2 linked regions of the Lonchura striata genome follow. The protein of the gene in region 2 interacts with the protein of the main gene of each other region in a pairwise test. Links are inferred from orthologs where the notes say so. Each region holds a gene or a part of one and is shown on either strand. Other genes may lie near its edges.

Evidence for each region.
Region 1: the proteins of POLDIP3 (region 2) and ERH interact in a two-hybrid assay, tested with the Homo sapiens proteins (2 studies listed by BioGRID, with this or other methods). The link is inferred for Lonchura striata from reciprocal best matches to the Homo sapiens genes POLDIP3 and ERH.

What each region holds. Positions count from the first base shown.
Region 1 is NC_134608.1:33,811,316-33,815,223, forward strand, and holds the start of ERH (enhancer of rudimentary homolog), read right to left. Parts: upstream 3,050-3,908; 5' UTR 2,943-3,049; coding exon 2,940-2,942; intron 1-2,939. Other genes in the region: SLC39A9 (zinc transporter ZIP9), read left to right, coding at 3,638-3,733. UniProt on the Homo sapiens protein: May have a role in the cell cycle.
Region 2 is NC_134607.1:57,867,535-57,871,442, reverse strand, and holds the start of POLDIP3 (polymerase delta-interacting protein 3), read right to left. Parts: upstream 2,921-3,908; 5' UTR 2,820-2,920; coding exon 2,761-2,819; intron 1-2,760. UniProt on the Homo sapiens protein: Is involved in regulation of translation. Is preferentially associated with CBC-bound spliced mRNA-protein complexes during the pioneer round of mRNA translation. Contributes to enhanced translational efficiency of spliced over nonspliced mRNAs.

The sequences.
Region 1 (3,908 bases), on a different chromosome or scaffold from region 2:
TTTGGTTTGAATCAAGTTATTTATATGAAAGAAGGAGTAAAATGAAGCACAATAGTGAAACACTAGACTAGCAATCGAGGACACAGACATTTTCCACATAGCATTTACTATATATGTAAGCTGTGTTAGTTTTGTTTTCAACAGATCCTATCAATCCTTATGGAACTTTAAAATGTGTAAAATCACCAGTAAACAGCTATTGTGTTGAAAAAAAAAATACCACAGGAACAGTTTTTATTTAGACAGACAAGCAAAGCAATAAAGTCAATGTATAAGAGCTGTGGCATTACTGCATTTACTTATTTAATTCCAAATGCAAGCTGTTAGTAAAATTTCCAATGCCCCAATTAAAGAGCAAAGAGGGGACCCAACTTAACAACATTGTCATGTTCACATGAAAGATTTTAACAGAATTAGCTGTTTTAAGTTATCAATTTAACTTCAAGGGAAGTGATACAATAAATCTGTACTTAGCACTCAAGATTATTTCTTGCAAAACAGATGTACTGGTTTTTCCCACTTCAATGAGTTTACTTAAACAGTAATTATGGCACAGAAAACTGTTCCAAATGTTGGAGTCCATAAGCTTGTTCTTCTGCGGGAAAGGCTTAGATGATTGTACACTCTGTGGCTTCCATTATTTCCATAACATTTTTACTTGGCTGCAGCAAGTAATTTGAGCAAAAAAGCAAGATTTTTGAAGTGTACACAATCTGTGATCTCATTAACAGGTTGCATACCACAGAAAGTTTGCAAGCATACTGCAAATGGCCGTTTCCAGTGCTGCTAGTTGGATCCAACATTTTCAGCGGTAATATGTGAGGTGAGCACACAACACAAAGGCATCTGCAGATATCATCTGTCTTAGATTAATCAGCAGCTGACAGAAAAATCCTGACCCATACTTTGGAAATCAGTAAAGATACCAATTCGGTGCTCATGAAAAGCAGTGACAGAAAAGAGAAATGACAAATGTTAGGATTTACAGGAAAAAACCCAAACAACAGGACAAATTCTTATCCCATAACTGACAGTGTTCCCATCCTTGGAATACAGTTTTCAGTTCTTTGTCTCAACACAGCAGTAGCAGATTCTGAGAAATTCAGGAAAATGTTATGCAGAGAAAAAGAAGGAGCGAGGCTTTATCTAATCAGTAATGGAAAAAAGGGGAATTCTGAGCTGCACACTGTAACAACAAAAACCATACAAAGGAGAGGAGATAATTTAAATCCACTTTCATGTATGCCAGAGGATGACTGACTTGAAGGGAATTCCCCAAGGTGGGTTGGTATCTGGCTGTTCCTAAGTGCACAGTACTTGGAACAGGCATGTCTTAGCAGGGAGTCCAAATGACTGGCAAAGATTACCATAAAATAATTTTTCCAGCACTATCATTTTAGTTAGATGGTCACTGAGGAGTGCTAAATGAATGTATAAATTCTGAAATTACCCAAATAATCAGATTATAGAAACATCAGTGAGCCAGACACGTAAGCCAGTTCCTTCAGAACTTCACAGCAGAAGTCATTCAGACTTCTGACTTTAAGCCATTTATCACTTCAGACACTATACAATATCCATTATCAGATACTGGCTCAGAAAAATATGTAAATTAATACCACTGGATCACGTGTATTGTAGAATTAATGCTTTTCAAACATTTCTTTGGGAACTTGACATTGTTTTACTTTAAAGGAAAATTTGTTGGATTTGATAAAATTGCTGGTCCTGTCCTACCACGTAGGTACAAATTAATGACAAGCTCAGAAGCCTTAGGGAAGTCTCCTATTACCTGCCCTGTGAGCCTAGGTGACAGAACCAAAACAAGGGAAGATCCACAAACCTTTCTGCATTAGCACCAGGTCGTCTGGAGAAGCCCAATATGGACCGTTACTATGATGATACATAATGTTGAATTTCTTTGCATTTTCCTTAAAAGCACAGTTTACTCGCTGCTTTTAAGCAGGACACAGAATGAGGAATCACATGGTTTATATTATACCAATTTTGAACTTCTGGAGAGCACTTGAGAAATTGCTCCTGCTACTGAGAGCAGAACCCTGTAAAACTGGTTAAAGCAGTGCCAAGAGCCAAACCAGCAGGACTTAAAGCTACACAGCATCTGCCGCCCAAAGAGGCTTCCACCAACTGTAGTGTATTTGACAATAAAGTGGAAAAAAAAGCGCCCTGAAACAATAAAAGTGGAAGATATACACATATTATAAGGGTAAGATGTGCAGTAATGCAAATACCAACCAGTCGCATACTGCACACACCTAAATGCCAAGCAGAAAAAGTGGCCTAAGGCCCACCTTTCATTTTGGCCAACAGGGACAGGGCTTGCAGCTGCACATCATGGCCGAAGTCAACTGCACTGGAGCAAGTACCAGGCAGATATGAAACTTCGCTGCAAACCGACAAGAGGCTGTCCTCCCACTGCACAGCAATCACTTGCTTCAGCTCATCTTAATTCATTAGATGAACGCAACAAACCACGTTAATAGGGAGGCCTTTGAGCTTCAGCGTGCCATTCCCAGTGCCCATAAATGCAGCTCCCGCCCTTCCCTCCTTCGAGCAGAGGGGAGGAGCAGGGAAAGCAGCATGGAAATCGCAGATCAGCCATTTAAGGCCGGCTCGTCCGACGGGCGACACTCGCAGGAAAGCGTTGGGATCCCAGCAGCGCCCCAAGAGGGGCCGAGGCTCTGGGGGAGAGGGGCAGGAGCCTCCAGCGCCCCGCTGCCCGAGCGCCACCGCCGCCTTTGTGCTCCCGCCCCGTCCGGCCCTGCCCCGCCAAAACGTGCAGCCGCCCGCCCGGGCCCGCACCAGCGGCCGCGGCCCTCCCGCCCGCAGTGACCCGGGGAACAGGGAGAGGAGGGAAGGGAAGGCCGCCCCGGCGGGCGCGGCGCTGGCGGAACGCGGCGGGCCCGTCCCGCTCTCACCATGGCGGCTCCGCTCCCTCAGCACCGCCGGCAGAAGTGGCGCGCGGCGATCCCCCACAGGCCCTCGCGCCCGCCGGAAGCGCCGCCGCGCCAACGGCCGCCACCATAGAGCCGCTCGCGCCAGAGCGCCGCGCGCGCACGCGCCCGCGGGGCCGCGGCCAGGCTGGCGGGGGCGGGGCGCGGCCGCCGCCATCTTTGGTGGGGGAGCCGCCCGCGGCGCCTCGCGGGCCGAGGCGCCGCCCGCCATCTTGGAGGCGGGCAGCGCGCGGGGCGGGGCGGGGCGGCCCGGAAGGGGAAGCGCCGAGTGCCACTTGGCCGCCGGGCAGCGGCCGCGGGAACGGGCTGGCAGCGCCGGTCCCGCACGGTCCCCTCGGCCCCGCCTGGGGCTGCCCCGCCGCGAGGAGCCGCCTGCGGGCTCGCTGTCCCCCAGCCCTCCCTCCCGCCTGCCCTGCGCGCAGCACGGTGCGGGTGCAAGTTCCCCCGCCCAGGTGAGGGCCGGGCCCGCCGGCCGCTGGCCAAGCCGCTCCCGCCCGGCCGCGCACCCCGGCTGCGGGCCGAGCCGGCCGCTGCCGCCGGGCGCAGAGACATGGCCCAAAGCCTCTCCCGGGAGCTCCGTGGCTGCACGGGTTAAGGCGTGCTGGGAGGTGGAAAAGTTGCTGTTGGATTTCACTTCAAGGGACCGGACAGAAAGCGGCGAAATGGATGACTTCCCCTCCATCTGCCTGCTGTCCCTGGCCATGCTGGTTGCCTGCTATGTGGCAGGAATTATCCCCTTGGCGGTTAATTTTTCCGAGGTAAGACAACTCCGCCAAACTGCGCTGGTTGCTAAGGGAGAAACCAGAGAGATCTCCCAGTAGGAGTTGGTGCCGTCCCCTTGCAATATGGCAACGCTGCTAAGGGTGAAGCTTTATCTTTAAAAGTTATGAGTGCAGTATTAATTTTCATTCAAAACTACTGTGTAAAATTATG
Region 2 (3,908 bases):
AAATTTGTGGGAGCACAGCAACTTGAATTTTAGTATGTACAAGCACCAGTAACAATTCCAGTTCAAAGCCACCAGTTTCAAGGTTGATTAGCTTCCAGCAAGAATAGTCATTAGTCAAATTACTTTCTAAAATAACTGCCTCTTCTTTAATCTACTAAAAGAACTACTGCACTTGATGGCCTTTACTTTTTAAGCACAACATTATCACAATACTAAGCACAGAAAGACAACAGCTCACAAAAACGACAGCATTTGTTCTTGTAGACAAACATTCATAAAAAGCAGCACAATACAGGGTAAAAACTAGAACTACCTTCTTATTACAGGTCTGATGCACTTTTTCAAAATCTGCCCTAAGAACAAAACCAGTTTATCTAAATGGAGTCTCTCTGATGAGTATTTTTAAAGTTTTTTATTTCACAGGGCTTTTTCGTACTAAAAAAAAAAAAAAAAAAAAAAGTAGAGAGAAAAAATACTCTTGCTGTTGACTTTCTAAAAGTCAAAATAGAGGGCTAAAAAGTTAATCTGCTTTCAGAAATGTGTTGCCCAGTATTATAAAGTGTAAAAGTAGATACCTGGAATTCGTTGTAATAAAAGAGTAGTATTGCAAAATCAAATTATGATGCTATTTCCATTCTTCATGGACCTTTACATTACTATTTCCTGATCTAACTCCACAACCTTTACCTTATTTACAGTCATGTATTTTCAATGAAGAGATCTTTCAAAACAAAACCCCAAACAATCAAACAATGAAAGACTTAACCTCTGCTTCTGCCTCTCTCATTCTTGTGTCTCAATGTCTGGAAAGCTGGGACTGGAGTCCCATTTTATCACCTATCTAAGAGTCCTATGGCTGCTCTCTCATACAGCCAAAGCAAACCAGCTAAAAGAAACAGGAGGATTATTAAGACTACCTATGAAAATATACACAGAACACAGGAGACTAACAGTACCCATAAAGCAACAGCCACGGAGCAAGACCTTCCTTGCAATTTTAAAAAGCATTTATTTAGCAATGTTGAAAGCATTCAGCAGGAGCACTGCAAAGGGCTGGATGAGTGGCTCATGAGAGAGGTCAAAGTACAACCAAAAATGTATGTATCAACATTTAAACTAGAATTAGTTAATACTGTTGATGACAAAACCCAGTGAAATAGGTTAAGAAACTGTACTGAAGATTACACCGTTTCTGAAAAGTTGTCTTTACCCTAATAATCAACTCTCTTTCACAGATAATTGCCTACCCTACAAGAACATTAACTGCTGAGGTATTTGTGCCACAGCACCTGAAATAAAAGCAGATCTCAAAGATCTAATTCACTTTCTACGATTCTAAGCTCTGGCTTAAATATGTTAGGGACCAGTACATTTTATTAGTGAAATTTTTTCTATTATTTCATCTAGGCTACTGAGCAGCATGGATATAATGATTTAAGTTTATCCAGACTTCACAAAGCCAAGTTTGCTACCTCAGGAATTTATAAAGTGAGCTAAACAAACACACAAGAAGAGTGTGGGGCACAACAATTCTTACAGTGCTGCAGATGGATTATTGTTCAGAAAAAAAAAAAAAAAAAAAAAAAAAAAAAAAAAAAAAAGGCAGGAAGAATTCCTGGAAGAAATGAGAGTTAAAGAGGGATTAAGGAGGTACTTGGGGCATAGTAAGCAGCCTAAGACTCTTCCAAATATGCAGGACAACATGAATGAAAGCGCAAAGCTAAGGCTTTGTCTAGACTAGGATTTAAATATGTTGGAATGTTTTGGAAGTATATGTCAGCCAGGCAACGCAGAATATTACTCTAGACATGTAAGTGTATACACATTCAGAGTCAAAACCGAAAAATAATAAATTAAAAAAAAAAAAAACAAAAACAGAAAAAAAGGAACCAACAAAGCAAGAGCACACAGAGCTAACAGAGATTGGGGACAAGTTCTTCAAAACCATTGCGAGACTACGGCAAAAGCGAAAATGAAAAGGTACCGAAGGAGAATCCAGGTAAGAACTGCCAACCGTGGCAGTAAATGGCCCAGCTTAGGCTGGAGACTTCTGCCACGCAAAGAAATAACCTGACCTTGCAGCTCCGATCTGCAACATGCTCCACGTCCCCTCAACTACTTCGGACAACCAGGCGGAGCACCAGTGACCACGCTAGAGGGACGACGCCTTCCGCAGCCCGGGCGGCGCTGCGGCCGAAGCCCCGGCAGCCCGGTCCGCGCGGGCGCCCGGCGGCCCCGGGCGTTACGGCCCCCGAGCGCCCGCAGCCCTCCCACAATGCACCGAGCCGCTCCCGGGAGCGCGCGGCACTGCCGGGTGACACCGCAGCCCGGGTACCCGCGGCGTTCGGGGCGCCCGCCCCGTTACGGGGAGCAGCGCTGCGTTAATCGGTGGGGACAAGCAGGAGGCAGCGTGGGCAGGGCGAGTCGGAGGGCTCGGTGAGACATGGGACGACGCCAGGAATCCCGAGGAGACCGAGAGGGGACGGGCCGGCAGCGCTCCTGCCCCACCGGGGCAGCGCCAGGCACAGGGGCCGCGGTGGGGCCCGACCCCCGCCCCGGCCCTGAGTGACAGCCGCCGCCGCCAATCGCATGGCAGCGCGGACCCGCAGGCCCGCGGCTCAGCCAATGGAAACGCGAGGGCGGGAGCAGGGCCGGGCCGCGCCGAGACAGCCGCGGCCCGCAGCCCCCGGAGCGGAGCCACCCGAGGAGCGGCCGGGGGCCGCCGGCCCGAGGCGCTGCGTCGCCGTCCCGGCCGCTCACCTCCCCTTCACCGTCACACCGCGTTTCCGTATGAGCTCGTCCAGAGACAGGTCCGCCATCTTGTCGCGGCCCCAACGATGAGACGCAGCGAGAGAGTCCCGGAGGTGACACCGTGCGGCTTCCGCTCCTCGCCCCGCCCCCAGAAGTACGGCGGGCCCCGCCCCGGCTCCGCCCGCTGTGACGGGCCGCCCCACAACTCCCCGCGGTCCCCGGGCCTCTCATTTGCATACGGCGCGGCACGGCGCGGCTCGGTTCGGGCTCGGTTCGGCCCGCGGCGGCGGTTCCGCGGCGCGAAACGGGGCAGGAGCCGGGCGCAGCGGTGAGGACGCTGCAGAGCGGCCAGAAGCCGCGCCGGCGGCGCTCGCCCTGACCTGTGGAGCCAGTGCGGAGCGGCGTCCCGGCGGCGCGGCGGGCTCTAGGTTATGCCTTAAACTTATGAGTAAGGAAAATAACGACCCGGGGTGACGCCCGGGTCCTCACTCGGAATGTGAGAGGAATTTTTGCGCGGGTACAGGTCGCCCCTGGGTGCCCCGCTTACTTCGCGGGATGCCCGGGTGCCGTGATCTGCCCGACCCTCCGTGGCCCGGGTGCCAAGGACAGAACTGCTGCGGCGCGCCGCCCCCGGGGCGGCACACAGCCGGGCCCACGCGGGCCAACGCCAGCAGAAATTCCGACCGCACTGGAGATCGGAAATTCCTTTAAATAAACCACCAGCCTTGCCTAATAAATACTTCGCGTGTCTGCAGGACGCAATTCCTTTTCCGTTCTTCTGAGGGAGCAGTTCCACCGTTTAAAATCACGCGAAGAGTGAAAGCGGAACGGTGCCTTGTGCAGCTGGGGCAGCGGTGAGCTGCCGGGTCCCTGCGGCTCTCCGTGCGGGCCGAGGCGTGCTGCCGCCCTCAACGCGCCGCTTCGCAGCACGGCACAGCCTCGGCTTCCCCCAAATGCGGCTTGGCTCCCGCCGCAGCTCTGTCACGAGCTTCGCTTCTGACCCCTTCGCACCCCGCTGTTCCCTTCTGCTTCCCCAGCTGAGCTGCACTAACCCTGGGGCTTTTTTATTTCACTTCTTCTATTCCATAATAGATATTTCCAATAAAGGTATTTTACGGTCAGTTTCTCAGAATACGCCAGTTTTCTTGCACACACCT